Arabidopsis thaliana: one gene and its partners. The protein of the gene in region 3 interacts with the protein of the main gene of each other region in a pairwise test. Each region holds a gene or a part of one and is shown on either strand. Other genes may lie near its edges. The genes, in order: BRX, BEL1, ERF8 and NAC094.

Region 1 (8,489 bases), 8.4 Mb from region 3:
CAATCAAAATACAATTATACCAAGCAAATATAACTTAAAATTTAAGAATGTTAATTACAAAATCGATCCACGTACAATAAAAAATATTATACACAGAAAAATTCATCTATTTATATTTTTAAATATCAAATAATTAATCCCGTAGTACACTGCAGGTCATATTCTAGGACGAGTTATATTATAATCGATATATTTAGAATAGATAAAAAAGTTTGTAATATTATGAATATTTAAATATATATAAAAGATACGAGACATGTTATATTGCGTGACAAGGTTATTTTTTAGGAAGGGTTATATTGCGGGACGGAGTTATATGATGGAACATGTTTAAGTCGATATTAATACGAAATAGTATATTAAGGATGAAGTCTTAGAATTAACATTTAAAATATAGTTATACAATATTAAATACTTAACAAAACAAAACAAATACAACTGCAAATTCAATATTAAAAAACTCGATTCACGGTGTACAACAACAATATTATAAGCAACAATTTCAATAGTTGTAAAAATAAATAAATAGAAAACAAAAAATTAGCCCACGGTGTACCGCGGGTCATATCCTAGTTACTATCAAAACTAAATTACAAAATCGTTACATAAACTACTAAAACAAATTATTACATAAACAAATATATGCGTCATATATTGAAGATGACATCAATTAAAGAATGAATTTGACAATGTTTTCTTTTAAAATTAGATATTTATCATTTTCGCATATAAAAAAAAGTATATACAATACAATAAATTATTATAAATTAATACTCGTTAAATTAATAAATTATTTCGATATTGAGTTGATCAGTGTAAAACTGATATAAATCGGTAAAATGTTAAAATAGTAAAAAAGCTCGACAAATCTTATATAAAAATATGATACATCAGTATCATAAATAAACTTATGAATTATATATTGTAAACTAGTTTAGTGAATAGTACATCGATATAATTCACGCCAACTTACATGTAACATTACATTTGCCATTGATATCAGTAGGTGATGAACATATAAAATAGTTTTGATTAGCCGGATCAACCACTCGTAGAACACAAATCTCATCTTGGGAAGCTTCTTGGCGATCTCTCGAAGATACTTTATTGCAATTTGGACGAATAATCTCACTATATGATTTCTTTGTCGATCGTAACAAACCATAAGTCCATGCACCTGATAATGCCCCGATCACGGGTGAAACTATGTATAACCATAAATCCTTATAACATCCCCATATAAGTGCAGGCCCTAAGCTTCTTGCTGGATTCATAGATGCTCCCGAAATTGGCCTTGAAAATAAAACATTGTTAGCTTATGTTTTAACAAAATCACCATGGAAATTTTTCAAAAGAGACTTAGAATAGTTACCCGGAGAAAAGGATGTCGAGTACTATGGTTGCGCCAATAGCGATTCCAGCGAATGACCCGGTGGCCCGTTTATCGGTTGCGACAGCAGATATAACAAACATTAGATTGAAAGTAGCGATGAACTCCATTACGAACGAGGTCGTATTTGAGTTTGACGGATATGTTCCCACATAAACATCGCCTTTGAGGCTACAAACATCGTCGTCTAGATGGAACACAAGCCGTAGAACTGCAGCCGCTAAGGTCGATCCGAGAAGTTGAGCGGCAATGTACCCCGGAACCTGTAATACAACCACCACATTACATATACAATGTAAGACTAGTTGGTATAGATGATATCTATGGTAAAATGACCAAATATGCGAAATGGAATAAACGAGAAAAACTTGATTTAACAAATAACTAGTGGAAATACATATTTTGCTGCTTATAATTATGAATATGGTCGAAATCATGAAATAACATTATAAAGATAGTATGAGGTATTTTTTTACAATTGTAGATATCTTTGGATCACCTGATTAAAAGGGAACTTCTTAGAAGAGGCAAAGGCAATAGAAACAGCAGGGTTGAAATGTGCACCAGAGACATGACCAATTGAGTAGATCATAACCGTTACGACTAGTCCCCATACCAAAGCTATACCGGGAAGTGTCACCGGTTTGCCATACGTCTCATTTACCACGATGGCTGAGCAACCGGCAAATATCATAGTGAATGTCCCCACGAACTCTCCAATCAACTATAGAGTACTTTCAACAAAAAAAATCAACTAAAGAGAGAACAATAATGTTTGTTTTATTTGATTATCATACTTCATAGATTGGAAAATCAGTTACCAATAATTAGAACCAAAGTCAAGATTGAGCTTGCATATAGGCTATAGCAAACATCACACGAAATATAAAATCTTGATTTGGACTAACAAATATTTCACGACAAATTAAGAAACCATATCGCAACATAAAAGAGGCGGCTCACCTTTTGAACGAACGATACGGACACAAGAGGAGCGGATAAATCCGACGACCGGGAATCATCAATGGATTGATAGTTTTCGATGTCCAAGACAACGGTTTGTGTCTGAGTAGTAATATCAGAAATCTCAGCCATTGATGGAACTATGGTGACTTTCCTCCAAGTTTATGGTTTTCTCATCTAAAAACTCAAATGGTCAACTCTACTTTGTATTCGTTATAACTTATAAGCAAATAATAAAGTTGACTTTTTTATTCTATAGTCTATACCGCATGTTGATAAATTCTTTTAGGTTCATAGTTGACTTCTTTATCTTTGTCACAAAACACACGACATGGTTTACACGATAGTTATAGACTTATAATTATATGTAAATGTAATCAGCTTTGATTAGAAATGATATTTCAAAACACTTAATTTATGTATAGATGTTAAGCTAAGATGAACAAAAAGATAAGCAAAATGTGTGTAGTTTGTGTTGTTATGTGAAGGAGATTAATTAATTAATTAAAGATTTTGGTACTCATAATATTTCGTTTGCTTAGAGGTACTGTGTTTGTATTCTCTCTCTGTTCTGCTCCCACCATGTCTTTGCATGCACTTCCCCAAACCGTTCCCGGCTGTTGATTAAACCACAAAACCATAGATTCCGGTTAGTCACGGTATGATTACCAACTTTCAAAATGTATATGATTAGCAAATGCTTAGTTTTAGACGTTTTGTTATACCTGAATCTGACTCGACGTAGCTCTCTAGTCCCATCTGATAATTGTCTGATGGTAATGTAAACACCAGGCTCGTCCTCTTCAATCCACTCAGCTTGCATTTCACTAGCATTGCTCATGGAAGGTGGATCATCTCTGGAAGAAGTTGTGGTTCTTGCTGCATCCATCGGTGGTCCTCCATGATAACTTCCTGGTCCATAGTTGCTAGAGCCGCCATAAAAGTGATGCGGGACAGATCCTGGAGGTCTGAAATTGTGTCTTGGAGTCCAGTCTTTGCTTTCTCTTGCTGAATCCATCTTTGAGTACGTTGAATCTCTCTGTGACTGAAATATAAACTTGTGTTACCCTCTCTGGCTTAAAAGACAAGATTCATATAGATCCTGTTCTGAAGAAAGACTAAGGGATCTAAGGATATATGTGTTTACCTGATCGTCGGATCTTGCAGGCGTTTGGAGAGCTTGGCGGTTAAATCTCTGTACATTGTAAAGCTCAACGATCTTGTCATAGTTCTCACCCCACCACCGTTGAGCTTGCCACTTATCAAACATCTCTCGGCTTTCAAAACAAGACACAAGTAATTGTTAGTTTTTATCTCATGTTTCAGCGTTGAATGCCATGAAGATATAGAGATTGTTTTGAGTAGTTCAAATACCTGAAACGGATCCGTTTGAGATCATTTCCTCCAGTGGGAAGAGAAGCAAATGTGATATGAACACCAGGTTCTACTTGAGCCATCCACTCTTTTGGTCCATCATCATCCAGTACAACATCACAAGACTGTGCAGAGATAGATTCTCGATCATTTCCATATATTGAAGTGAACTTTGATTCTAACCGTCCAGCTGGATGATGAGAGGAGTTTGTGAAGTCCCAAGCAGGAGTTGAACCAGCACTTCCACCCATGAAAGGGTATGGAACACCTTCAGAGGCATTGTCATAATCCGGAAATGATCTATGTCCTTTCTTCAAGGGACTACTAGAGGAACCAGTGCATGGCTTGCATTGTTTATAAGCACCAGAGAATTTCAAAGCCATATCTTTAATCTGCGTAACATATGCACCCAAAAAGACCGATTACATTCAAAAACTTTATCTTGTTTATCAAAGTAATCCATTTAAACACACAAGAATGTTGAGTATAACGGTACACAAACATTATAGGTAGTTTCAAGCCTTTTTAAGTATGACTAAGTATACTTTTTAGCCCAATGAAGTAAAAAGAGGTCTACTATGATCATTATTAAAAGAACAACAATAAAGCTATGAGATCTAACATAATTAAACATATGTATTAAAAAAAGAAACTTCATATTGTCTTCTTAGCCTGCACCACAATCATAACGGCCCACTATTTCTTTTGTTTATGTTCTTTTGATTTACTAAAATAGTTACCCCCACCCCAAAAAACCCTTTCTTTATTTCCTTGTCTAGGTAAGAATCCACTAAAGCTTATTTGAGAGAAAGGTATTTAGATCAAGCTTCACTAGCAATATTCATCAAAGTATGACCCCAATATAAGCTTTAATGATAGTCCTGATAATTCAACTGGCTACATAATTCAAGGATATGTACAATGAGGGTTTAAATTGTTTCAGTAGTTGTTTTTGACTTTCATATGTCTAGTCACATAGAGAGGAAGCAAACACTGACATGAAAACTATTAAAGAGAGATTGGTGAAAGATTCCAAAAAATGAAGTGAAGTTACCTCATTGTAAGATCTCTGTCCTAAACAACAGTAACCTCTATATACTAATGACTTCAAACTCTATTCTTTGGTAAAGAAAACGAATAATAGTCAAATATATGGACCCTTTTTAAGTCCTCTAAGATACGTTAATTGGGGTTTGTGTCTTTGTTTGTTTCACGAGCAAGGCAATTAGAGAAAAGCAATAAAATAAAGTGAAAGAAAATAAAAGCAGAAGAAGGATCAACAAAGAAAGAAGAGAGAGACCTGAATGGTTAGGCTTTTGACGGCTTCTTTAGTATTGGGAGTGGTGCCTCCACGCGCTCCATGTTCGACTTCTTCACCTCCGTCTGCTTTGGTACAAGCTATGCAAGAAAACATTTTTGGTCTCTTTTTTGAGTTGTTCTCTGCCTTTTCAGACCTATAAAACCAGAGAGTACTCTATTAAACATCATCACAAACCAAACCTCACACTACTCTACTCAAATCAATAATAATACTCTACAAAACAAAACAAAAAGTAATTAAGAACGTTAAAGTAGAGCTCACTCTCACAATCCGACATAAAACACGGGTAAAGCTTATGTAATCGTAGTACACATGTAAACATTAGTTACAAGTTAGGAACATATAGCTAGAAAAGGGTATTTGGATTTCAATTGTCGTTTTCTTATAACGCAAAACACAAACACAAAAGGACAAAGTTGTTGACATATCTCTAGTCAGGAAACAACTACTCATGTTATAACAAAAAGAAAATGTAACTTGACTGGTTAGTAGTTTAACTCATAAAGAACCAATGCTAAATATTTCAAGTACTAAACCCATTTTTTAAAAATGGAAAGAAAGAAAAACAGTTTACATTACACCATGGTCGGATATTTGTGTTACCTATTTTAAGAGCGAATAAAAAAAGATGGGTATAAATTAGTGAAGAGATCTTGATAAAGACAAAAGTGTTGAAAGAGATATTAAAACTACATGTTACACTTTTCTTTATTAAAAAAAAAAAGATGTTATAACTAGAAAAGAAAGAGAGCTTGGGGATCAGAAAATAGGACCCAGTTAAGAAATACTAATATTTTAAAAATTAATTGTGCAAATCTAAACACCTGAAAATTGTATAAACACATTATTTACAAGTAATAATATATTCTAAAGACAATCATAATAGAGACAAATGCTTCTTTATTCTACTTTAAATAGTTTTTTTTTTTTGTTAAAGAATAACTTAATACTTTTGTGTGCAGCAAAAGATCCTAAACCCATCCCTCAACTAACAAAAGTTCGAAGAATAATTACATTTTTTTTGCAGTAGCCGAAATTTATGACATTTTAAAAAAAAATCAGATTATTGTGATGACTCAAGAGAATCAAATAATATGTTCTGATTCCGCGTGTTTAACATCGATCAAGACAAATACATAAGTAAAGAAGAAAACAATTGGAAACACTAGAAAAGCAAAACAAAATTGAAAAATATAACAAGAAAATGGAATCTTGACAGTCACGTGTTAAGAAAAAGAAAAAGAGATTGGTTTCTATTTTTAGGGTTTTGAGTGATGATGGACCAATCTAAAGCGTGTCGCGACATGAAAACTAAAACTATATCCAAAGTAAAAGATAAAATCGCAAAAACAATCACGAATCACGAAAAAAACTCTGTTTTGATATCAAAAGCAAAGGCAAAAACTGATACAAAAACCATTATTATTCTCACCTCAGAAAACGACTTCTTCTTTTTTTCTTAATCATTACAATCCAAAAAATAAAATTTTGATTAGTGGGTTTTGTTTATTACTCACTCACCTTTGTGTTTCGATATCTGAGAAATGAAGCGATATGATCTGAGATTATTGAGATACTAGATAGCTAGCTTCTGCTTTATTTTCCTCTTGAAGGCTTTGGTCTATTTAGGAAGCCGGCACGAGTGGGGTTAGTTCTGAGTCTACGTCTATAAATAGACCATCAATGGCTGCAGAGAAGATTAGTGTAGTAGTGTTACAGACAGTAATTGTAATAAATGTGTTACAAAAGGACGAAAACAATTTATGATACTACAATTTTGCTTTTAATGTTTTTGAGAAAAAATTCGGCGTTTTCTCAAAAAAGTAAAAGAACAATAAATACCGGGAAACTTTTGAATGAAAATGAAAATTTATATTAATATTGAAGAATGAATACACATTTTTCGGTGAAGTTTCTGATTTGGGTTTAGTGAGAAAATTTTGGTATTAATCAGAAAAAAATGACGAATCGAATCTGTCTAAATCAAATCAATCAAGTGACAAATGTTTGCAGAAAAAGGTAACGCAAAAAAAAAAAAAAAAATCTCTGAATCTTTTTTTTTCCGGGAAAAAATAGTATTGAAAAGATCGATCGGAAAAAAACCAGTGACTAATCGTTTCTACAGAAGAACAGAAACAGAGCAACGAATCTCTCTGTTTTCTTATTTTCCCGAGAAAAATCTTCAAAAAAGAGAATTTTTATAAACTCACCTGAAATGTCTTCTTCTTCGAATCTGATTATGTAATAAACTTCACTGAGAAAATCTCCAAACTCAAAAACCCATAGAAATCTTCATTTTCCGGAAGAGAAATTTGGAAAAAATGAGAACAGAGACGAAACCGGGTCGAGAAGTCGGGTTATTGGGTGACCCGAGAACTGAAAGGAGCTCCGAGAGTTTTAACTAGACGAAGAGAAGAGAGACAAGAGTTACGAAGAGTATATATATATACGTGGAGGAAAGAGAATGTTTAACGGCGTTTAATGTAATAAAAAAGAACCGTGAGTTTTGACGGAGGTTTATTATTTTGGTGTGCCGAGGAAAAATATTGGTCTCGAGAAGAGACGGCAAAGAGGGCCCATGTTGTCTACCGGTGACGGAGATGGCTTACGTGTGGTGGAAGTAGAATACGTGGCGGTTTCTGATTGGTTTGAGACAGCTGAAACCGGGTCGGGTTTTGGTCACGATACATTTGACAGGCCAAGGGAACCGTCGCATCACGATTCGCTTTGTGTGGGTTCATTTCATCATCTCTTTTTATTTTATTTTACTATACATAATATATGTGTGTTTCATCGTTTTGTCTTGTTTTGGTTATGATCATGTGTGCCAATTTTTTGTTGTTATGTTTCTACTAAATGAGTAAAGAAGCATCGATTGTGAATAGAATCAATAACTTGTTCATTGAATTTTTTTCATTTGGACATTTGGAGTTATATAATATAGTGTGAAAGTGTAAGTTGAAGTGTTTGCTTAAATAGTGTCCCAATCATGGATTAATGTTGGCATGGTGGATGGAGTATTGAAGTATGGGATGATACAACTATTTCTATTTATTTTACACATGTGATGTGTTTGTTTGTCATGTTCATTTCTTTAATATATAATATAGTGTAATGGTCCGACCATATTAAAAAATAAATAAAAAATTGTCTTTTCTTGACTCGTTAAACCAAATTATGCTAGGTTTAGAGATTGCTATAGAAGAAAAGCTTGCAGAATTGACGATGTGTTAATGTATTTTGGAATAAATATTTGTACTGTAATTTTGTTTTCTTCAATTGCATATGTAAGTATCTCATGCATGCAATGACTTTTTTAGAAAAGAAATGTTAAACGAAGATTTCTTATAAATTTTATTATTTTCATTCATATACGTGAAAAGTACGAAGGAAGTGAAATGTCAAAAGAGTTTTAAAGACAAGCATTCTTGATTTTGGGGT
Region 2 (9,841 bases), on a different chromosome or scaffold from region 3:
GATGTTTTTGACCGGTTTTTTTTTTTTTTAATCCCATTGAGTCGATTTATTTTATAACTGTTTTAGTTTCCAAATTTTATTTTATTTAGCAAACTATTGAATCAATAAATTGGATTTATGTGGACGGTTTTAAATCTGATGCAGCATTATCTTCGGGCATTACGTTGGTATTTTTGGACTTTGATCCGTTTGGGTTATTAGCTTCTTTTGGTTTTAATTGTTGTTTATAATTTTTTGAAGGGATTAGGATAAGAAAATTTGGTGTTTATCTTTCAGGTCCAACTTCATTTTCAAATATTTTCTACTAATTAATAATCTTAAACTTTTCACTTAAACAAAAAAAAATATACGACTTAACCTAAAGTTTTTAAACAGAGAAGTACTTCTCAGTCTCTTGACTCGTTACTCGTTAGCTTCGTGGAGTACATGACTCGATCTCAATCTAAAATTCTTGTAGGTCGTCTCATACGCAAGTTGGAATCATTGTTTTAAAATCGGAATCGTGAATTTTACCCGTTGTTAAAAGAACCGCTAGACGTTAATTGACCGCTCGGTATAGTTCTAGCGATTAATCGGAAAATTGGATTAATATCACCAATTCAACATTCCAACATGGGTATATTTGTAGAAAAATTAAAATCATCCCAAACCACTGGTTATGTTATTTAATCCGTTCGATGTGTTGCAATCACGAATTTTGTTTTGGGAGATTGAAATTAAAATTTAAAATTTATATATCAACACAAATAAAAATTATACACCAAACAAAAAACCCAAAAAAAAAACAACGCAGTTGCGGTTGAAACAAACCAAATGAAGCTGAAAAGAGTAAGGTACTCCTCTTGTAGAGAACCACCGCTAAGGTCGGAGTCTCTTTGTGAGCTGATGCTATTTCTGATTGATTTATCAATGGTTCGTGTGAGAGGATTGGGTGATGGCCTTGGTGGTATCGTCTCCCATTCTTTTTCCTCCACACATGATAGATCATGGCTTAGAACAATAACCGCATAGGAATTAGTCTACATCACTTCCTTAATTTCCCTAGAATTCCTTTGCATAGATATTTAATAACACGATTTTGGTATATTATCTTTGAGAATCCATATTATAAGACTTTTTCGACATATCCTAAAGAGAAATTTAGTAAAGGTTTCTTTTGGCTTGAAGGAGCCCAAATGTGACACATGAACCATAATTCATTAATGTTTGAAATTTTGACATTTATATATTTGAATTATTGACCGCGACGAGTAAATATATATACAAATTATACAGTCTTAGATTTAGAAATATGTTTCTTAGATTTAGTTTAAATTAGACAGAAAAGTTTCTTAAACAATGTCAATGTATATATATTGCATTTTGGAAAGAGACGTATGTCTTACTCTTATCGATAATTTTTGTTCTTATCAACACTTAATCTCGTGTTTAAGAGACTGTAGATGTTTGAATAAGACTATAGGATACAAGTCTATCTGTATTTTGTGTCAAATTGTTAATTCAGTCACTCTTGAAACTTGCTTGAATTCATTATTCATGTGTACATAACTTTATATGTATACGGGAGTGTACACGTGAACGTTATCGATCGACCGAGATGGTCCAATAGTCAGTTTGTTCTTTCTTTATTATGTTTGTCGTCAACTTTATTTTATTAGGTTTTGTCATTAATAACACAAAGACCATACACTCTCTCTAATTATGTCTTTATATAAATATGATGGTCTAGTGATTTTCGTTACTGAAGTCGTATCTATTCGATTCCAAATCCGTATAATGCATGCCAACTACACAAATTTCACTCGTCCATGTTTGTGTGATATCTATTTATGTGTATATTATACACAGTTACACACATTCAATTTTATAATTTGTATCAAGTATATACGTAAACGATTGTCATGTACAGACACTCAACATACTTTAAAAAAAACTATATATCCATTTACTTTTCGAAATTTTGAAACCAAATTTATAAGAAAAACAAAATTTTAAGGGATTGAATGTTTCCAAATAGTTTGAGATGGTCCTAGAATATGAAAACAGATTTGAAAAGACACTTGATAATATTTCCTTAAACAAAAATATATATGATTTACATTAAGAAAAAAGTATTAGATTGAGAAAAAAACCTCTCAATAATATATTTTAAAAAACAAAATGAAAATATCCTACAAGTGATATTGACGAACCAACTAACTCATACATTAATAATATCTCCTTGTCCACCAATCCTCCAATCCAATCAGACAACGGTATATATAAATATCTAATTTGGTTTTTATCTAACTAAACCGTTACATAACCGAATCGGTTTTGGAAAATATGTATCGATAACTTTGGTCCTAATCTTTTAATCTCAAACAATATCATGAAGTAATTGAGCTCCCATCAAATTCCTATAAGGCAAATTCTGAACTTGATCATCATCTAACATCGACGCTGAATATTGAACCGGTCCTTCTTCAATGTGGTCTCTACCGTAGAAAAGTTGGCCACCTTGAGCCGTCACTGGAGACAACGCTAAACTCACACCACCGTTACCATCGTTACGTTGTAACCCAAGCGTCAAGGAAACGTCACCACGTGGCCCTCCTTCACCAGCGTATGTCACAGCTTGGTTACCGTACAAGGAAAAGTCAAACGTTGACCCTAACGACATCGTTCCATGGGTTGAGTTGTGACCGGATTTGGATGTAGGGTTTGTCACTATTGAGGATAAAGATTCCGGTTCGACACGGATCAACTGGTCCGGGTCCGGTTTAGTATCGATCATCATCGGGTTTGTAATCTCCATTTGTTCACTTCTTGTTTCTTCACAGTACATTTCTTCAATCATTGGTTTCCATAGCCTAACTCTTGCATTAATAAACCAATTTGATACCTAACAATTTTGGTTTATTATAACTTTAGTAAATAGGATAATAAATTTTGGAATATATCAAGAATTAGTGGAGTTATTCTTTACCTGACTTCTTGATAAACCAGTTTGTCGGGCCAATATATGCTTATCAACATCGCTCGGATATCTGAAAACAAAAATAAGAAAATTTTACTTTAATGGAAAAATATAAGACAAATGGATATGTAATTAAAAAAAAGGATATAAATGATTGAAGAATGATGCAAATAAAATGGAAGCAAAGGTAAAGGGTTTGGTGAAAACTAACAAGATGTTTCATTGTTTGAGCAGTGTTTGGGAATTGATGGAGACAAGTGTTACATATGATGATAAACATATAACTTCTGTAAATTAAATAAATAAAAAGTAGAAGAAAAAGAACAAAATAAAAACATGGAGAAAAAAGCAAGGAGTTATGTATAGTTTCTCTCTTTTGTTAGTGTTAGGTAAAGAACATTGATTCTCTCTCTCAATCCACTTTGTACCTTTCTCTATTTCTGTCTTTCATCCACCAGTTAAATTTATTTTATTTAATTTTATATGTTCGTATACATATATATACATGTGTATATGTATATGTTTGTACACTCACTTTCACACCAATAGTGCAAATGAAAGAAAAAGGAAAATAAAAAAGCTATATGCAATTAACAGATTAAGGTAGATTGTATCCTATGCTTGTCAAGTCAATCTCAATCTCTCTATATAAAATGTACATATTTTTTTACTTTTATATGTTCAAAAATATTCATGTAACAAACAAAAAAAACCTATCATACTATTTATCAACGTACTATCAATGAAATAAAATCGTTAAAGAGGTTTTATATAGCTCCATAAATATACCCAATTAACTTGTGATTCTACCTTCATTGATCACTTCAGAAAGACACAATTAGTAACTTTTAGGTATGTGTAAATATATTAAGAGGATGTATATGAAATAACTTACGGGTGAAGAAAGTGTTCAAAGAGCCAAGCTCTCAACGTTGTGACTGCGCGTTCAGGCAAGCCGCGTTGTGGACGCCAAGGATGAGCGTCAACAAGAGTCATTTGGCGATACGATTTCTGTTGCCGCAAAGCTTGATCGAGCAATCTCAACCGTGGAGTTTCTCCACGTGCTGCAATAGAAACCGCACGATTATCCTCTTCTCTCTCTCCCAAAGCTTGACTTGTTGCTTGAATCTGTCCCACAAGTCCGTCTTTTAAACACCGAAAGTGTCTTGACATTGCCCTTGACGCTAACGCAGTGTATATCTCTGCCCCTCCTAGTCCAACCGCCGCTTCAAAGGCTGCCGCCGCAACTCTCATTTGCTCTCGGTAATGTCCATATCTTCTTTTAAGCTGCCAAAAAACCGCAAAAAAACGTTACCCCACACCATTCACAAAGATTTCAATCACAATCGTGTAAATGTAGATTCTTAGAATGAGTAAATACACGAAAAAGAAACAACTCGTTATGGCTTATGATGATGAAACTGATTGCTATAAATATGGAGGACCACTAGAGTCTCCAAATTAGCTCAAAGCAAAGAAAACAAAATTATATTTTGGTTCTATAGAAAAAAAGAAATAATGAGTAAAGGAATTAAAAGGGTTGATCTTTTCGTAGTTGATACGATCGAACTTGTTTTCGACGAGAATACATGAAAGAATGAAGACAAAAAAGAATCTTTTTATCTTAATATCTAAAAGAAATTTGTAACTTTAAGAAATATATGGACCTAATCAAGAATCGAAAAAATACAAGATTTATGGGTATCTTACATATTTAGGAATAAGTTGAAACCAAATGAAAGGAAAAAAAAAAAGATTTGTAAAAGACTTGTGGGTATTTTACATTTTTAGGAATAAGTTGAAACCAAATAAAAAAGGATTAGATTTTCTAAGAAACTCATGTAAGTTTTGATAGTAGTAATGAAATAATTTCTTGAAAATATATATACCTCTTCGAGCATGGAGAGCAACTTGGCTTTTCTTTTCTGAAGTTCCATGAACTCAAGAGAGTGAAGTGGTGGAACATGTTTCTTTGAAGAAGTAGTCGCAGATTGGTCATGTTGATCATTGTTGCTGTGGTGACTTGTGTCCCACTCTTCTTGTTGTTTACCCTTTTGCTTCTTCTTATGCTTCATCATCATCACTTCTTCATCGCTTTCCTTTACTCCAAGACTGCAAAACTCACTCAGTAGCTCTTGAGCTGGACTCAAATACTTGGAACTCCCAATCTGAAACTGATGATGATTATGATGCTGATGATTGTTATTGTTGTTGTTTTGGTGGTGACTATTCATCATCATCATCATCATCTGCGTGTGTTGGAGATTCTGATGTTGTGTTGATTTATTACCGGAATACCCTTGTTGTTGTTGTTGTTGGGGTCTGAGTTCGAAAGATTGGAGACTGATGCTTGTAGGATTTGAAGAGGAGAGAGAAAGGGAAAGACCTTGGCTTGGTCTTTGTGGTGGTCTCTCATCATTTACTTCACTTGGGAAATCATTATTAACATTGCATAGTCTCATGGCAGATGAAGAATCTTCCAGAAGCTGATTCTGATCAGTACCACCACTTGTCTGATGATGATGATGATGATGATCCGAACCACTTGTCATCCTAATCTGTTGTTGCTTAGAGAAGTCTATCATCATACCCATGTTGGAGTTTGAGCCAAAGATCTGATGATTGTAATGATGATGATCGGTTGGGTTTTGGTTTGTCTCATCAAACCCTTGGATCTGATTAATCATTTGATGTTGTTGCTCTTGATGATGATGGTTATTGTGACCATAGAACTGATCTCTTGCCATGTCTCTCAAGAATTGAAAACCCAAAAAGAAGAGAAGAAAAAAGAAAACTCTTTTTGGGACAAAAACAGAAGTTTCATTAAGATCTACAAGAACCCATCTCCAAGAAAAAGTTAAAAAGAACCAATAAACAAAATAGAAAGGCAAATCTTCTCATACCATGAAAATTACAAAACTTTGTATCAGAACCAAGACAATAGAGATAGCTCCTAAAACCCTACAAGAAAGTAGTTTGCATAAAGATGTGAATTATTTTTCTTCTTATTCTTTAGGTGAAGAGGGAGAGAGAAGAGATTATAGGAGAAGATAGACGAAGAAGAATAAAAGAATTAAACAGAAGAGATATAACAGAGAGAGAGAGAAGAAAAGAGATTGTGTGGCTTCACCTCTCTCTTTGTTTTGTACTTTGACAAAATTTAATTTTTCTTTTAGTATGGGTCTGTAAATTGTACTACAGGCAAAAATAAAGAATTATAAAATGGTAAAATAAAATTAAACCTAGGAAGAGAAAAAATCAGATTGGTATCTCTTCAGAGATCAGAAGACAGGTGATCATGACCCTGCCATAGACTCTATAGCTAGCCATCAATGTTTTAATCTCTCTCTCTATATATATCTATATATATATATATATCACAAGTGGGTCAAAATGCTTTACAATTTTCAAAAGAAATATTAATATTCTTTTTATTTTATTTTTTCCCGCATATAAAATGCCTCACAATTATACATTTAATTTGTGTATTTTGGTATACGTAAGTCATAATGAAATAATGGTTTATATTTTTCTTCTTCTTTGACGTTGAATTATAAATTATTGGTCTGACCAAGAAAATACTACAGGTGTCTACCTCTATTCTTTATTTTCTTCGTTCAATTATTAAGAACCTGCTAATTCGAAAATTTAGTTTACAAAAAAAATCAAAAAGGATGGTACGTACGTACATTGGTCCAAACAGTTTAGAAAAAAAATTGATTGGATAGATAACAAATAATTAAACTGAACTAAAGAAAACAAAAATTAGAGATCCTTTGCCCGGTACACAAACTAATTATACAAGCCATCTTCATATGACATATCTCTACGTTGATTTAATTATTTATTAAACATAATTTAGTATTTAAATGTTCATATATATATATATATATGTATATATGTATTTAGTATTTTGATTTTTATTGCTGAATCCATACGTGTAATCTACGTGTATATGTATTTAGTATGTATGTAGATATGTATACAATATGTTATCTAAGAAAATGATATCAATTTTGGTGTTAGTGTCGTTTGCTAAGCTTATGTAGGCAAATTTTGTTATTAAATGAATATTTTTGGAACTACTTTTTTTTTTGGTGAAAATATTTTTTGGAACTACTTTTTAAACATTTTTATGAAGCATAGCGTATCTCAAGCAATATTTGAACATTGACGATGATTTTTAATTGAAAATAATAATATTCTAAATTTAGCCAACCAGTCACGTGAATGTACAAATTTAACTAGTATTTTGTACAAAAGGTGTCCCTTTCTATACATAAATAATCGTTATATATAATACATGTATGCCTCTGCGGCTCTGCCTATTTTGCTCCTAAAATATATTTTCTTTGTTAAAGAATTATTATCAGGTCTAATTTATAACAGAATTATTTGATGATAAATGAATTTTCAAACAAAGAAGAGAAGTTAAGTTAACTTAAAAAATGAATAACTGTGAAAAAGTTTTGCTCCTAAAATAGTTTTTTTTTTTTTTGGAGAATTAACATACCAATATATATATATATATGTTGGTGTATAGATGGAGAGGTAAGTAAATGAAAGAGAACGAATCCCAAGAAATCAAACCAGAAGTAGGAGTTGAGTTCAGGCTTTTCTCAGATATGTCTCAGTGTCACTTCTCTACTGTTTAACAATTACTATTAAATTACTATCAACCATATCATAACTATATAAACATTTTAATTAATAGTAATTATATATAGTAGAATAGAGATCGTAGTCCCGTGTAATACAACACAAATGGACTGATGTCATTATTCGACTTGCACTTCGCACAGTACGTGAAAGAGATTGTGTTTTGAGTTTTAAAATACGTTGTTGGTCGGTCACTAAACTAATCGAGAAAGTACCAAAACAAAAGTCTCCTTGTTAGTAACTGCAAGGGCGAAGAAGTTAATTATATCAAGATTTAATGGTTTTCTATTAAATTCCATTTAATATGTACGCAAAAGAAGGAAAACAAAAAATCAAAGTTTTCTTAAACATTGCTGACATACAAAATCAAATATTCAAATTTTAAATAAATGTTTCTTAAATGTTGACATAGAAAACTAATATAGTCGTTCTTCTGCTTGGCACATGTATTATTAATTGTTGTAAAAATAGTGTTTATTACAAAATTTGCAAATTTCTTTCTTTAGAATTTAGATATATACGACATCTTAACATTCAAACCATAAGTCAAACACCACATTATGAAAAACGTATAATTAATTGGCGTTACAAAAACATATCAAGAAATTAATTAATTTTAAAGAAATTAAAAATTATTTAATTAAATAGTTTTTAAGTAGGATAATCTTTGATTAGTTAACATCAAAGCCAAGTTGTAAAAGAGGACATAAAAAGATACATAGAAGAGACAAAAACAACACTGTGTTTGTAGTTATTTAACCGCTAATATTTATTAGAGTCACCCAAAAAGCTTTCTTCTTTTCATTGGATGGATAAACCAGTGAGTTTTCTTATAAATGACAAATTCGAATATAACTTATAACCAACAATATCACAAAAAATTGATATTACTTGTGTTATAGAATATTCACATTCAGTTGCTTAAATATAGTATACTATTGCTATATACGTCAAGTTCATATATTTACCAACAATTCAAAAAAAAAATCATCTATACATTCATTTTTTTGTTTCCAAATTAAATACATGTGTTAATTACAAACTGTTAACTGAAACTATCAAGGAAGTACAGGATAAGAATATCCAAAACTTTGAGATTATACGTTAATAACAAACTATTAGTTTTCAGAATTGGAGTATTTATAATTGTTGTCAAGAATTGTTCCCAAACTAAGGGACTGTGCATGAGAGGTGATTAAGTGGTCCTCCATTTTTTTTGCTTCTTTTTTCTTTCTAATGTCTTTCTTTCTTTATATTCATTCCACCCAAAAAAATGCATTTATTTTCGTCTCTCTTTGGGACCATTTTATTTTCTTCTCCAATTCTTACATATTCACATTTATATGAACTTTATATATCCTCTTCCACGCGCCAATGTCTAAGAAAAACAACTCAATTGAATAAAGCATCTATATTCTAATACTGACCTTCTCAGATAATTAATAGGACAATTTTAAGTAATACTAATATGTTATAAATTCATTACAAAACCAAAAGAAAATAACTATTCAGATTTATGACAAAAAAAATAACAATGATTTCTCAAAACTTATTGACATATATTTCACTATAAAAATTTGGTAATTTTAGTTCAAAATGAAGCATCCACAATTTGGTACTCCATTAATTGATAAAATCAGCCATGCGCAATATGTATAAACACCAGAACTAAACCCAATTAATTGGTTTAGTCACGTAACAAACACGCGACATGTTGTGAGTGGGTGAAAACATCTTGGCGATTACATACATTTAAAAGGGGAAGTGGTCCAACCGAAACGGAAGCTCTTTCCGCCGTTTCATACCAAATTCCACAAAGAATCCTTTTTTCAATCTTTTGATATCCCGAAAATACCCTCCACTGATGATTGACGTCATCACTTCAGACCTTTTTTATTTTATTTTTGTCGACAACCTTTTTTATTTAAGAGAATGATCGCAGCAGGTGCGCAGGTTAGCAGACCTAATATTTTTCTACGTCGCGATAAAATTCTAAGTAAATAAGTGGTATAGTTTTTCATATGTGATTTAAAAAATAAAGTATCTTTTGTGTTATCAGATTTATATTAACACCGTATGATAAATGTATATATATATCCGTATGATATTTGTTAAATAAGAAAGATAAAACATTTTATCTTTGAGATAAATATATAAACTGTTATCCCTAGATTTTGCAAAATAAGTGAACTTAATGTTATTGCTACTCTTAGAGTTATTGAT
Region 3 (6,267 bases):
AAAATAAATGGATTCATTGTGTGATAGTATGTTTCCACCGTGTGGAACTTATGATGCATTGATTAATCACTCAATTTTATAACCTTTTCTGTTACAAACATGTGCTTTGCCTTGGAGTCTTCCTATTCTACTAGATTATACTTATTACTTAACAGTAGTTGACATACAATAGTCTTCTAAACTACAAAAAAAATACAACAAATGTATTCGATAGTATTCTTTTTCTTTTTACCAAATAGGCATGTAAAAAACGATCAATTGGGTTGGTTATATGTCAAAATAGGGAGACTCAAGACAAAACGAGACTCAAAACTCTCGGTTAAAGAATGCCAATCAACATGAATAGAGATGTCAATCATTAGGCCGACAGTAGGTCTTGGTGGCCTAGTCAGGCTCAAGAGGCAGTCGATCAATACTCATTCATGGTATCGATCGATTTTGTCGACAAAATGGAATTGGCATGATGAAATATCGATCAATTATTCAACAAAATAAATTGACTTGTCTTGCCTCTAACGGGCTGTTGATTGATGCAACATAGAAGCTATCGATCAACACCTTCATTTCTTGTATTTTTTTCCTTCAGTTTTGCTCCAAAAACTTTAATCTTGTTCGAATCCAGTTTTTATCTAAACTGACTCTATAAATACCAGAGATTCTTTATAACACTGAAAACTTATTGAGTATATTAGATTTAGAAGTTTAGTAAATATTCTAACACCTCAAAGTTTGAGACAGAATTTTTAAGTTGATCAAGTTATAACAGTATTCTGAAAAGTGTATTTTCCAATCTTATTGATATGTTTCATTCACGATTTTTTTTTCTCCTTTCTCTTATCCCTCGACGATTGAATTTAAGATCAGATGTTTTAGCCCGTCTAGCCAAAATGTTTTTTGAAGACATTGGCTTTGTAAATTATACTCATTTGGTTTGAGCGATAATCAAGAAATTACTTTACAATTTAAGTTTGAATTTGGCAAAAAAAAGTTTTTGTTGTGCGTTTATTTGACTAGATTATATTATACTTTACTCTAACTACAATCATATATATACATTGGTAACACGATAGACAACATATATAAAAGTCTTTTAAACTATAAAAGCCAACATATATATTCCATAGTATTCTTTAAAACAAAAACAAATATGCATGTAAATAATAGATTTGTCTTTTTATTGTTGTCACTGTAGCGACATTTTTTTCCGTCACTGTAACAACGTATATTTTCTCCACAGAACTAACAAATTCGAATCTATTTGTTTGATGGTGTTCATTTTTAATCCAATGTACATATGCAAGTAGTAGATATCTCTTTCTTTTTTGTATATACACGATATATAAAATAGTTCACTAAGTTATAAATCTAAAAATTTATTTTGATAATATTTTGTTTACCAAATAAATACACAAATAGTATATATGCGTTGTTCGTCATGATATCGTCATATATAAAATCCACTACAATATAAAATTTTGGTCATTTTGTTTGATAATATTTATTTTTCACCAGATATAAGCATGTAAATAATAGATTTTTTTTTTCTTGTCGGCTCGTTAACGACATTTATAACGGAATAACGGTATACTAAAGTACAAATTTTTATTCTATTCCCTTTATACCAAATAAGCTTTCATGGTAACATCCGCTAAATTATATATTGTCATCATGGTAACATCCGCTAAATTACAAATTTCAAATAATTTTTACTTTTACCAAACAGAAAAGTAAGAAATATTTTTTTGTCGACACTTTAACGATATATATATGTAACGGTATATAATTTACAAATTCAGAAATTTTGTTCGCTATATATTTTCTTACAAATTTTTTTTTTTTTGTTTATGTGTTAACAACATATATAACTACAAATTCGATAATTTTGTTTGAATATTTTTTCTACTAGATACACACACAATAGTTTATATTATATATATATATATATAAATCTTGACCTAACTAAAACATATAGTTTAAAAGGGTGTTATTAGTTCTTAATTAATTAAAAAAAATTCAAGAATCTGATAAAATCATAGATTGTAAAGAAATGAAAGTTTCTAAACTATTATTATAGAGTTTTCTATAATCTTGTTGATTAGTTTTTCACAATTTCTAAATTTTCTCAAACAATCTTTCTTTTTTAATGATACTTTTCGTAACTTTATTTTGGAAAAAGTGTAGAAAATCATAAACCAATAACACAATAATTTAATTCATTGACAATTATAGATTCTTTTGTTTTAGCTAAATAATATAAAATTTATAATAATTTTATAAAAGTATAAATCCAATAACTATAGATTTATCAAGATTTTAAATTATTTTTTACAAATCTTAATATTTTAAATTTTTTTAATTGAATAACAATAGATTCTTTATAATATTTTAAGTTACTAAAACTTTAATTAAATCACAAACTAATAACACTCTTTAATAGTGTATACTAGTATTATTGTTATGTCATTATATAGATTTAAATCCGCATATTACATTGCTTTAATAAGAAAAATTACTTAAAATTGCAAAGTGGCGATATAACATGTTTTATAGATTTAGTACAAATATGTTCCTAGTTTAAATAGGGATAAATGCAGCAAAAACCAAATTATATTATATTCTTAATAGGCAGTAACTTAATTTATAAGATTGTGATTTGTGCAGTCTTTGTTACAAAGGTGAAAAAGGGTAATAAATAAGATTCTTTTGGAGAAAGAGAAGTGAACACGTGGCAAAACATAAGTGGATATAATAACAAAAACCAGTTTTTATATGAAATAAGAGAAGCATGAGAGAGAGATAATTAAACCATCTCTCAAAATGGCTTTGACTGTTCACAAGAAAGCTCCCCAAAAGGAGCGTTGCTTTACTCTCCTATAAAAAGAAGCTCTTCTACTTCTTCTCGTTACCACAAAACTCTTTCACCGATCTTCTCGTTCCATTCTTCTTCCTAATTACACCATGCCCAACATCACCATGGGTTTGAAACCCGACCCGGTTGCTCCAACGAACCCGACTCATCATGAGAGTAATGCTGCCAAAGAGATTCGTTACAGAGGCGTTAGGAAACGTCCATGGGGAAGATACGCCGCTGAGATCCGAGATCCGGTTAAGAAAACTCGAGTCTGGCTCGGTACGTTCGACACCGCTCAGCAGGCGGCGCGTGCTTACGACGCAGCCGCGCGTGACTTTCGTGGTGTTAAGGCTAAGACCAATTTCGGTGTTATCGTTGGTAGTAGTCCTACTCAGAGTAGCACCGTCGTCGACTCTCCCACGGCGGCACGGTTTATAACACCTCCGCACCTCGAGCTCAGCTTAGGCGGCGGCGGCGCGTGTCGTCGTAAGATCCCGCTTGTGCATCCGGTTTACTACTATAACATGGCGACGTATCCAAAGATGACGACGTGTGGTGTCCAGAGCGAGTCTGAAACGTCGTCGGTCGTTGATTTCGAAGGTGGAGCTGGGAAGATATCTCCGCCGTTAGATCTGGATCTTAACTTAGCTCCTCCGGCGGAATAGGCCGTGAGTTTTTTTTTTCTTATGTCGTTTCTTTAGACAAAAAAAAATAACGTTTCCTTTTTTTTTCTGCCTAAGAAAAAAATATTATCCGTTTTTTAGAAGAAAGTGTAGAAAAGCTCCAATATAATTTTTAGCTGCCGTGAAAAAAAAGTCGTTATGTATATATTATTATGAAACCCTATTATAAATCGACGTAACATAAGAGGATCTTAAGCTTTTTTTTTTTCTTTAGTATTTGCCAAGGAAATGCATCATCGTAAATTCGTAATTGAAAAGATAAAGTATTATAGAGCTTTTTGGGGCTCGTGTGTAGAAGAAATAGATAAAGAATGGTAATGTTATTATTATAAGACTAAATATAGTGATGAGTATCGTCGTCGTCGGCTTGAAAAGACAATGGTCCAAGTGTCGTGAAGACACGCACCAATCGTGGGAGGACCGGACCCATCTTCTCTGGCTGCGGCGTACGTTAGAAGAATACTTCTTTACGCTTACGTCATTTTCACAGTTTGGACTGCTTTTCTAACTTTTGACTTTTGTGTTTTGCATCAACTCTTTTAACTCCGATGATTTATTAACAGATGGTTAAGAGTCTTGCTTAAGTTGAATAGTATTCGATTTGAAATGGTAAAAATGTTTTAAGGAAGTTGAAGATAAGAAGAGCGGCGGCTTCATAATGAGAGACAAAGGAAGGATGAGATTTGATTTTGATTCTTGTCGCCAACTTTGTGATCAAAAAACGTATAAAACAGTTATGCTCTATGGTCGCAGATCCAACGGCTGGAATCGTCATCGTTACCACGTGGACGCTTAACATAATTTAAATTCTTATTTCATATTTTTTTAAAGAAGTTAGTATGTTTTAAAATATATATATATGCATGCGTACAAAATCGTGTTAAGGGTTATAATAAAGGGATGTAAAATTGGGGCCTCTAGAAAGTTGAATAGTTTCAATTAAGCCCTTATCTTAACGACATTTAGCCCCACTCAACCAAATATACACCCATGTCATGTCACTACGCACAACTATGGATCACTCCCATAAGTAGATGTTTTATATCAATTGACGATTGCAACTTTTTTACGTTACAAATTTAATGCTGGACCGAAGGCTACCATACTAGGATCCGAAAGCCCGATCCACGTGTGGCGTCATCAGGACAATGTTTGCGACACGTCGGCTGAGGTGTTTGGCGCGGTGTTTATGATAACGGCGTTTACACAAACCTCTGTTTATGAGCTCTGTGACTGTGACTGTATGATTTTAGTAAAATAACGAAAACAAATACTAGGTCCTTTCGTTCTTTGACCATTTCTCCGACCAAAAAGGGACCACTTACTCATCTACGTATATTGGATAATACATTGTATTATCACCTTTAATGAATACGTGTCCTCTGTGAAGCTTCAGTGACCCAATGAGAAAACAAAAATGCTGATTTAGTGTGACCCCAAATTTTATTTATTTTGTACGTAAACAAATGTTTTCGTTGACTAAAGAAACTTTGCCATTGGGCGATGGCCTTTTATTTTGGATGAAAACTCAAGAACTTTTGTTTTGCTAAATTTCCTTGTTATGTTTAGGCCTCAAATAGAAAACTTAGCAAAACTAAAGATCTTGAGTTTTCAATTTTTCATCAAAAATAATGGTCCTTAGTCTTTTGAGTTTATATTGTGAGAAAGAGAGTCACGGTTGCTATTTATTTCTTTGTATGTTGCTATTTCCAGAGTAACGATTGAAAGATATACTCAGGTTGGGACTTAATCATCTAAACCAAGACCGAGCTGGTATTCCTGAGCATATGTTTGACTCACTACAGGTCCTCTCATGGTAATAACCCTTGTTAGTCAATTTTTTTAGTTTACAGCTGCATTGAGTTGTCTGATTCATGAACCACACAAGTTGCCACTTTTGTAGAAGAATTAACAACAAAAGATTGATGACTTTTGTCATATGAGAGAGTTAAGAGAAAGAAAAACAAAAATAATGATTATGAGTACTGGTATATGAATGAAATGGTAAGAGTGATTACATATTATCACAGATAAAAGGCAAGCCCTTAATTATACAACTAAGAATATGCTTCCTCTCTAAAAAAAACCAGGAAGGAAAAATAAAGATAAAACTAAAAAGGCCAAAATAAGGTAGAAAATGCCAATTAAAAAAAAAAAAACTTAAAATTTTATAAATACACCCTTTTTCTGAAAAAAAATTATACACATAAATACCAAAATTCAATGCATCAAATCAATGTAAGAGACACACAAACAACATTCTTATGTTCTGTCTTCTGTGAGTTTCTCAACTTTGGTTAAGATCACGCGATGTTTGACCTAGCCATCTGCAAAACACAGAAAATTAAATAAACATTGTAAGTTATTACTCAGTTTTCGTTTCAGGAGAAATGTTTAATGCTAATCACATCAGTCAAACCTTGAGAATAAGAATCTTGCAAGTGGACTAAAGTTTGCATTAGAACTAAATTCTTTGCTAGCTTGCTTTCTTTTGTTCTCTGCATCATTGTTCATTGTCTTAGCGAACACACGGATCGCCATGTCTTGCACTTCTTTCACTGACACTTCCTTTGTACTGTATGACCATTTTCGAGTTTCATTAGATCAAACCCAGTATTGCCAATATAAAACAGACTGATACTGTATACACAAGTGTGTGTATATGTTCTTTTATAGTTACACTTACCTTCCCAACTGTTCGATCAGTTTGGCAATAAAAGCTTCAGAAGAACC
Region 4 (6,778 bases), on a different chromosome or scaffold from region 3:
CATCCCCGGGGCTAGGATTTCTTGAAAGGGCATTGCCAATAACTGTTCAGCAGAAGATACAACTAAAAACTTATGATATTGTCCTTGCCCATCTCAAGCACTTTGTAAGCTCAATAACTTTTCATTCAAATCATCTTACCGTGATAATTGGTCACGATGTATCCTTGTCCGTCCCAGACTACTCCAGAGCCATTTCCTTCTGGTATCTACAATTAGATTATGAGTGTAACCGTAAGTCAAAACAATTGATAATGACATTAAAAAGAGGTGTTCTTTAAGTACTGCGAATCAGTACCTCAACCACACCCGTCATTTTGAGCTGAGGCCGTAATGTCACATCAAAGATGTTGACAACGGAATAAGTATTCTTCTCAAACAGTTGCACAATTCTCCCCTGAAACATAGAAAAGATATATAAATCTTTAGGATAACCATCAAAACCTGAAACTTACAAGTACTTTCGCTAAAGAGACAAACCTCAGTAGGGAAAAGAGGTCCAGCTGGGAAAACAGTTGGACTAACATCTTCAACGGTTGCAACGGATGGATCACCAAGTGCTAAGGCTGTAGTAATACATCACGGAGCATACTCAATTATCAAATTCTATCACTAATGGATCAATGAAAACCATCTTATTATAAGCTTACTATAAGTGTTAATGAAGAGGTTAGACTAGTTCAAGGAGCTTCAGAACTCTACCACTAGTATTGCAAAATCCTTTAAACTAACTTTGAATCATCACCAGCTAGGAACTAAAGGCTCTGATTGTCACAATTAAGCTTCTTAAACAAGATATATTCCTCATCAGATTTGTGTAAACAAAGCGTTAGAAGAAAAGCAAATAGCTGAACAAGGTGCAGACCTGATAAGTACCTTGAAGGATTAAAGCACAAATTCATGAATAAACTTGTCAACAAGATTCTCCTTGTCGTCGAAGGGACACTTTTCACAGCTAACTCATGTAAATTCGACTTCCAATCTTGAGTAACCCTATCGAATAATCAAACAGTCAAAAAGTAACATAAACATCAAAATTCTCCAAGAAATCAACAAATCTTAATGTCTGATTCAAAATGAGAAGTTTCTCCAAAAGATTGTTCCAAAAGTTAAAAGCTTTACGGTGATTTTTCACTAACGTTGATTCACACATAACACCATTCTTAGTAACCTAAAGCCCATCAGGAAAAGACATAATCTTTGAGCAACCCAAATCAAAGGAACAAATTTTCAGCAAAATTTGGGGCAATGGAAGAAGCTAAAATGCTTACTTGACAGAAGAAACGGGTGGGTGTGAAACGACGTCGCCTTGAGAAATTTTGGAACAGACTGAAGAAAGAAGTTGTCGTCGACCAACAAATTCATTCTCATTAGGTTTCGAACAGAAAGATGCTATTACCTGCATCTTTCCAAAAAAAATCGAGAAAACTCTGAGACCAGTCGATTTGGCAAAAACCTGGATAAAATTAAGAATCTTAGATAATTTTTTGTGTAGCTTAGGAAGAAGAAGATACTTGAAATACCGAAATGCCCTCTCTAGTAATTTAGAAAATAAATGATTTATTTATTTTATATGTGTTATTTTGTTGTGAAAAAACCCAAAAAAGCAGATATTTATTTTTTTATTAAGAAATATTGCATTTTATACGCGAAATTTTAAAAAGTAATTATTTTAAATATGTGAACTTCGTATATGGCCATTTAATATATAAAAATACGTTGATCGGGCACCATTTCATACAAAATTATTTGTTGATCATGCCAAAATACACACGACGTTATCTACCGCTAACAGATCCGATAACATCCGTTAACTAGTCTCTTTTAGTTTCCAATACAACGTCGTTTCACCATAATCGAAATGAGAAAAATGTCATTTAATACTCCAACTTTCAAATTGTGACAGTTTTATACATCAACTTCACATGTGATTATTTTATACATAAATTAAACATTGACCAGCAGTTTGAAATATGAAAATGCGTTGAGCAGACCAGAAAAACATATCGCTATCTAGGCCTAGATATTCGGATTTTAGTTTGGATTCATAGGGAACAGCACTTCTATCGGGAAATGGGTGTCACGCCGCGATCCAAAAGTGTTAATCGAGAAGAACAGCAAATATGCATTGGGCTAAAGACGTCATTCAGTTTAGGTCCTAAGAGTGAATCAAACGATGTGAGGCCTGAGTGGAAGATGAAGGAATTATGCTTTTAAAAGTTTGAAACAAAAAGAAAACTGTAGGTTTGCTTCTTGATTTTCCAAATTCCTCTTCATTGTTGGACTCTTGTCTTACCATGTATACTTTGTTTTTTTGTTTAGGTGGACCACAATGTGATTGTCTTGTGCAAGGTCTCTTTCAAAAGTGTTATCAAGGTTTATGAAACATCTCCACTTCTTTATTTCAGGTTCACAATTTACTTTTTTTATCTCACTAAATTAAAATGTCTCCTTCAATTCTCTTTTCTAGGTTGAGCAGACCACTTTGGAGGAGCTATTAATCGAACCTTGCGAGCGAGTGTTGTACCAGCCGAGAGGCAAGTGTACCTCCATCATCCTCTTCCTTTGAGGACGACGAGCATGTCCGATACATGCTCCCTAGGGTTTAGTCTCGGAGATAGATGGTTTGATGTATCGGTTTTAAAGCACAAACCGTTCAAAGCATTAAAGCAAAAACTTGGATTTTCACAGCATTAATAGATATTCCAAGAGGATGGTTGTTGACAACTTTAATGTTTTACATATAAAGAGAAATAGAAAGCTTAGGTTAAAGGCTATTGACCAAACTTCCCAACTTGTGTTGCGTGGGTTAAAAAACCTAGGCCATTTTTTGGACTTCTCTCATCTTGAATTGTTTTTTGGTTCATCTTGTTTTTTTTTTTTTTTTTTACCACGAGATCTTCATTTCTATTCTACGTATACATTATGTTTTTACATGTCTCAAACTTGGAGACATATATAGCAACCTTAAGCAATGCCTTCGATTTTACCAATGCCTATATTGACTTACCATGGATTTTACTTTTCTTATATGTTACAATAATATATATAAAAGTATGAAACTATAAATAAATGTGGAAGAAGGAAGGAATAAATTAATTTTAGGGAATCGCGAATTTGAGATTTCATAATTTACGTAAAAGAACATTACTTTATTTACGGCTATAACTAAAACTACAACGACCCTTTGCTTAAGCACCACAACTTTCAAATATCAATCTTAATTTATAAGACTTTTACTTATAGACTTATAGATATAGAGATTGGATCCCATATAGATTCTACTCTAGAAAAACGTTTGACATTAGTCGGTCAAAGTCGTATCATCATTAAGTCATTAACCATATAGTTAGATTTTTTTTGGTAGAATGCATCTATAAGATATCGAAACAAAGGAAGAAAAACGTTTCCATATCATATTTTCCTAAAGATAAACCACATACGTAATGTAAGTATAACTTTTCCTATATTGTTCGACTCGTCCGTAGCCTCGATTTCACGAAGTACGCAATAACCTTGAAGTTTGAATCTTCTCATAAGAAAAATAATAATTTTAACGGCAAAATTCAAGATTCATAATATCTTTCTTGTATAAATCTCCTCTTATTCAAGAGACATTGGTCTTATACCTACGCATCACTTTCTGGTCCAATTATCGTTTCCCTATGAACCCATTTCTTCTTCTCTAAGAAACTTCTTCCTTCTTCCCCAAACTTACTCTCTCTATCTCTATAAATCTCTCTGTTTCTCTTCATCAAATTTTGGTATCCCAAAAGTACTAATTCTGTGTGTGTTAATGGTTCTAGTTATGGATGATGAAGAGAGTAACAACGTTGAAAGATATGACGACGTCGTATTGCCAGGGTTTAGGTTCCATCCCACTGATGAAGAACTCGTAAGTTTCTACTTGAAACGGAAGGTTTTACACAAATCTCTTCCCTTTGATCTCATCAAGAAAGTCGACATTTACAAATACGATCCATGGGACCTCCCAAGTAAGCCACAAAACTCTAACTTTTAATTCTCCAAATATATGGAAACAAAATATTTGATTATGCATTTTCTTAAATCAATGTTTAAAAAGAGCTTGCAGCGATGGGGGAAAAAGAGTGGTACTTTTATTGTCCTAGAGACAGGAAATACCGCAACAGCACAAGACCTAACCGAGTAACTGGAGGTGGCTTCTGGAAAGCAACCGGAACAGACCGGCCTATATACTCATTGGACTCCACTCGATGCATCGGTTTGAAGAAATCACTTGTGTTCTACCGTGGTCGAGCTGCTAAAGGAGTCAAAACCGATTGGATGATGCATGAATTTCGTCTCCCTTCTCTCTCTGACTCTCATCACTCATCATATCCCAATTACAATAACAAGAAGCAACACCTTAACAATAACAACAACAGCAAGGAGCTTCCTTCAAACGTAAGTTATCGGATTTGCCCTAACTTGCTTTACCCGCAACAAAGGTTAGGTTACCAAACAAATTAGAATCGATCTTTTTCATTTTGTAGGATGCTTGGGCGATATGTAGAATATTTAAGAAGACAAATGCAGTATCCTCACAAAGATCAATCCCACAATCTTGGGTTTATCCAACGATTCCTGACAACAATCAACAGTCACACAACAACACCGCAACTCTCTTAGCTTCATCAGACGTTCTCAGCCACATATCAACAAGACAAAACTTTATTCCTTCTCCAGTCAACGAACCCGCAAGCTTCACAGAATCAGCTGCTTCTTACTTCGCGTCTCAGATGCTCGGAGTCACGTACAATACAGCCAGAAACAACGGAACAGGGGATGCTCTGTTTCTGAGAAACAATGGAACAGGGGATGCTCTGGTTCTGAGCAACAATGAGAATAACTACTTCAACAACTTGACTGGAGGGTTGACTCATGAGGTTCCGAATGTAAGATCAATGGTGATGGAGGAGACTACGGGGAGTGAGATGTCGGCGACGTCGTATTCCACTAACAATTAAGATCATAGTACTATTAACACTTGAATTAGTGTAGACGTTGATCATCGCTAATATGTATTAATTTTTCTTGTCTTACTATAAACGTTGCTTCTCTTTTGGTTTCTTGAAGGCCGAAAAGAAAAAGAAAAAAACAAAGACTTGCTTCGAACATGCAACTTCTCCTTAATTTGGTATAGATAATTGTAATGGCTTTTTATATTAATCATTAAGTCTCATTCTTGAATGACACTAGTTTTTTTGGATTTTTCAGAGCCATATTTCATATTCTTTATGAAGAGGATACAATGCTTTCTTTTTTTTTTTTGAAAATAAGTAAAGAAAATATGAATTTGCAAAATCTTTTATTTATGTCAATAATGGCAAAGTAATGGATTAAAAAGGTACACGGAGTTATAAATTATATTTCTCATTTTTTAATGGAGGGTTCTAAATTTTATTTAAAATGGATGTATTTTGGTCGATTTTTGTTAGATTGTATTGTCACAAATTTTTAGCAAATCCAATAATTATATTATTAATTAAGAGCTATTTACATAATGATACAAAGGGTATCTGAAATATATATGGACAAGCAAATCTTTCTTTTTTATAGATCTTATTAATTAAAAGAGAGTGAGAGTAGAAAAAAAAAACTATTTCCTTTTTATCAGTCCTTAACGGCTAAATTACACAAATCTATGCAAAAGATATGGAAATCAAATCTTCACAAGCTTTGTTTTACCGATTAGAAGAGTGAAAAAAAAATAAAAAATCTAACTTTAAGGACCAAATTTTCTATAAGTATATCGCTATTTCACAAAGTTGTCTCTGACTTTCATATTCTTCATCATCTTCTTAGGGTTTCCTAAACCTAATTCGTAGTTTCACTCTCTCAATTTCATTCGTCTTCGTGCTTTCTCTTCACTTTGAACGTGAAACAAAAAATAGAGAGATTGTCTTCGAAATCAACAAGAAGATGGCCATTCGATCTTTACCTTCTTCCTCAGGCTGTTCCAATTCCTCTTCGTCTTCTTCTTATTCACTCGCTTCAACAAGTTTGAGCAATAGACTTGAGACCATCTTCAGGAAAGCTTCAGAGCTTTGCACTCTCTGTGATATCGAAGCATGCGTCATCTATTACGGACCAGACGGAGAACTCAAGACATGGCCTCCGGAGCGAGAGAAAGTGGAAGACATTGCTCTCAGGTATAGTCAACTAAACGAAGCCTTGAGACGCAAGAAGAGCGTTACTCTTTATGACTTCCTGAACAAGAAGAAGAACAAGACGAACTTGGAGAAGAAAGCAAAGATAAAGGACAACGACTTGAAAAGACTTGTCTGAAGAACGTGAATGTTTTAAAGTATCCAATTGCTGATCATTACTCTCCTGACCAAATTTCTCAACTGATTCAGTCCTTAGAACCTCATGTCTCTAAAGTCCGAGAAAGGATTCGTTTTGTTGAGTCGCAGAAACATAAGGAGACAAAACCGGATCATCAGAGTTTAGCATCATCCTCTCTGAATAATCAGACCCAATCTTTGAACCCTAGCCAGTTTTCGCTGTTTATGTATAACCATGGAGATAATATTCTGTCTCAGATCCCAGTCTCTGCATCAAATTTCAATCAGGATTATTTCTCAGCGTTACTTGAACAATCTGAGTTGAAGAGTCAGATAATGAAGCAGGAGGTTTGTGGTTATGAGCAGAACATGTGCATGAGTAACAATGGAGATGCTACGCTCTCTCAAATCCCACTCTCTGCATCAAATTTCAATCAAGAGTTCTCAGCCTTACTACAAGAAGAATCTGGCTT

Evidence for each region.
Region 1: the proteins of ERF8 (region 3) and BRX interact in binary tests that used the Arabidopsis thaliana proteins (3 or more experiments, as listed by UniProt).
Region 2: the proteins of ERF8 (region 3) and BEL1 interact in binary tests that used the Arabidopsis thaliana proteins (3 or more experiments, as listed by UniProt).
Region 4: the proteins of ERF8 (region 3) and NAC094 interact in binary tests that used the Arabidopsis thaliana proteins (3 or more experiments, as listed by UniProt).

What each region holds. Positions count from the first base shown.
Region 1 is NC_003070.9:11,444,456-11,452,944, reverse strand, and holds BRX (DZC (Disease resistance/zinc finger/chromosome condensation-like region) domain containing protein), read right to left. Parts: upstream 5,659-8,489; 5' UTR 5,625-5,658; coding exon 5,623-5,624; intron 5,182-5,622; coding exon 5,028-5,181; intron 4,120-5,027; coding exon 3,728-4,119; intron 3,631-3,727; coding exon 3,501-3,630; intron 3,399-3,500; coding exon 3,079-3,398; intron 2,971-3,078; coding exon 2,892-2,970; 3' UTR 2,753-2,891; downstream 1-2,752. Other genes in the region: NIP3;1 (NOD26-like intrinsic protein 3;1), read right to left, coding at 960-1,293, 1,373-1,653, 1,890-2,114, 2,354-2,485. UniProt on the Arabidopsis thaliana protein: Acts as a regulator of cell proliferation and elongation in the root and shoot. Regulates roots architecture and primary root protophloem differentiation.
Region 2 is NC_003076.8:16,576,289-16,586,129, reverse strand, and holds BEL1 (POX (plant homeobox) family protein), read right to left. Parts: upstream 6,195-9,841; 5' UTR 5,707-6,194; coding exon 4,849-5,706; intron 4,247-4,848; coding exon 3,855-4,246; intron 3,030-3,854; coding exon 2,969-3,029; intron 2,885-2,968; coding exon 2,360-2,884; 3' UTR 2,053-2,359; downstream 1-2,052. Other genes in the region: AT5G41430 (RING/U-box superfamily protein), read left to right, coding at 1-11; AT5G41420 (uncharacterized protein), read left to right, coding at 814-1,011. UniProt on the Arabidopsis thaliana protein: Plays a major role in ovule patterning and in determination of integument identity via its interaction with MADS-box factors. Formation of complex with AG-SEP dimers negatively regulates the carpel identity process and favors the maintenance of ovule identity.
Region 3 is NC_003070.9:19,818,788-19,825,054, reverse strand, and holds ERF8 (ethylene response factor 8), read left to right. Parts: upstream 1-2,802; 5' UTR 2,803-2,958; coding exon 2,959-3,516; 3' UTR 3,517-3,718; downstream 3,719-6,267. Other genes in the region: ATMAP4K ALPHA1 (Protein kinase superfamily protein), read right to left, coding at 5,822-5,861, 5,954-6,109, 6,221-6,267.
Region 4 is NC_003076.8:15,937,507-15,944,284, reverse strand, and holds NAC094 (NAC domain containing protein 94), read left to right. Parts: upstream 1-3,694; 5' UTR 3,695-3,793; coding exon 3,794-3,992; intron 3,993-4,081; coding exon 4,082-4,422; intron 4,423-4,511; coding exon 4,512-4,985; 3' UTR 4,986-5,175; downstream 5,176-6,778. Other genes in the region: DEG8 (Trypsin family protein with PDZ domain-containing protein), read right to left, coding at 1-42, 140-206, 296-394, 478-563, 863-990, 1,269-1,402; AGL98 (AGAMOUS-like 98), read left to right, coding at 5,941-6,300, 6,378-6,778.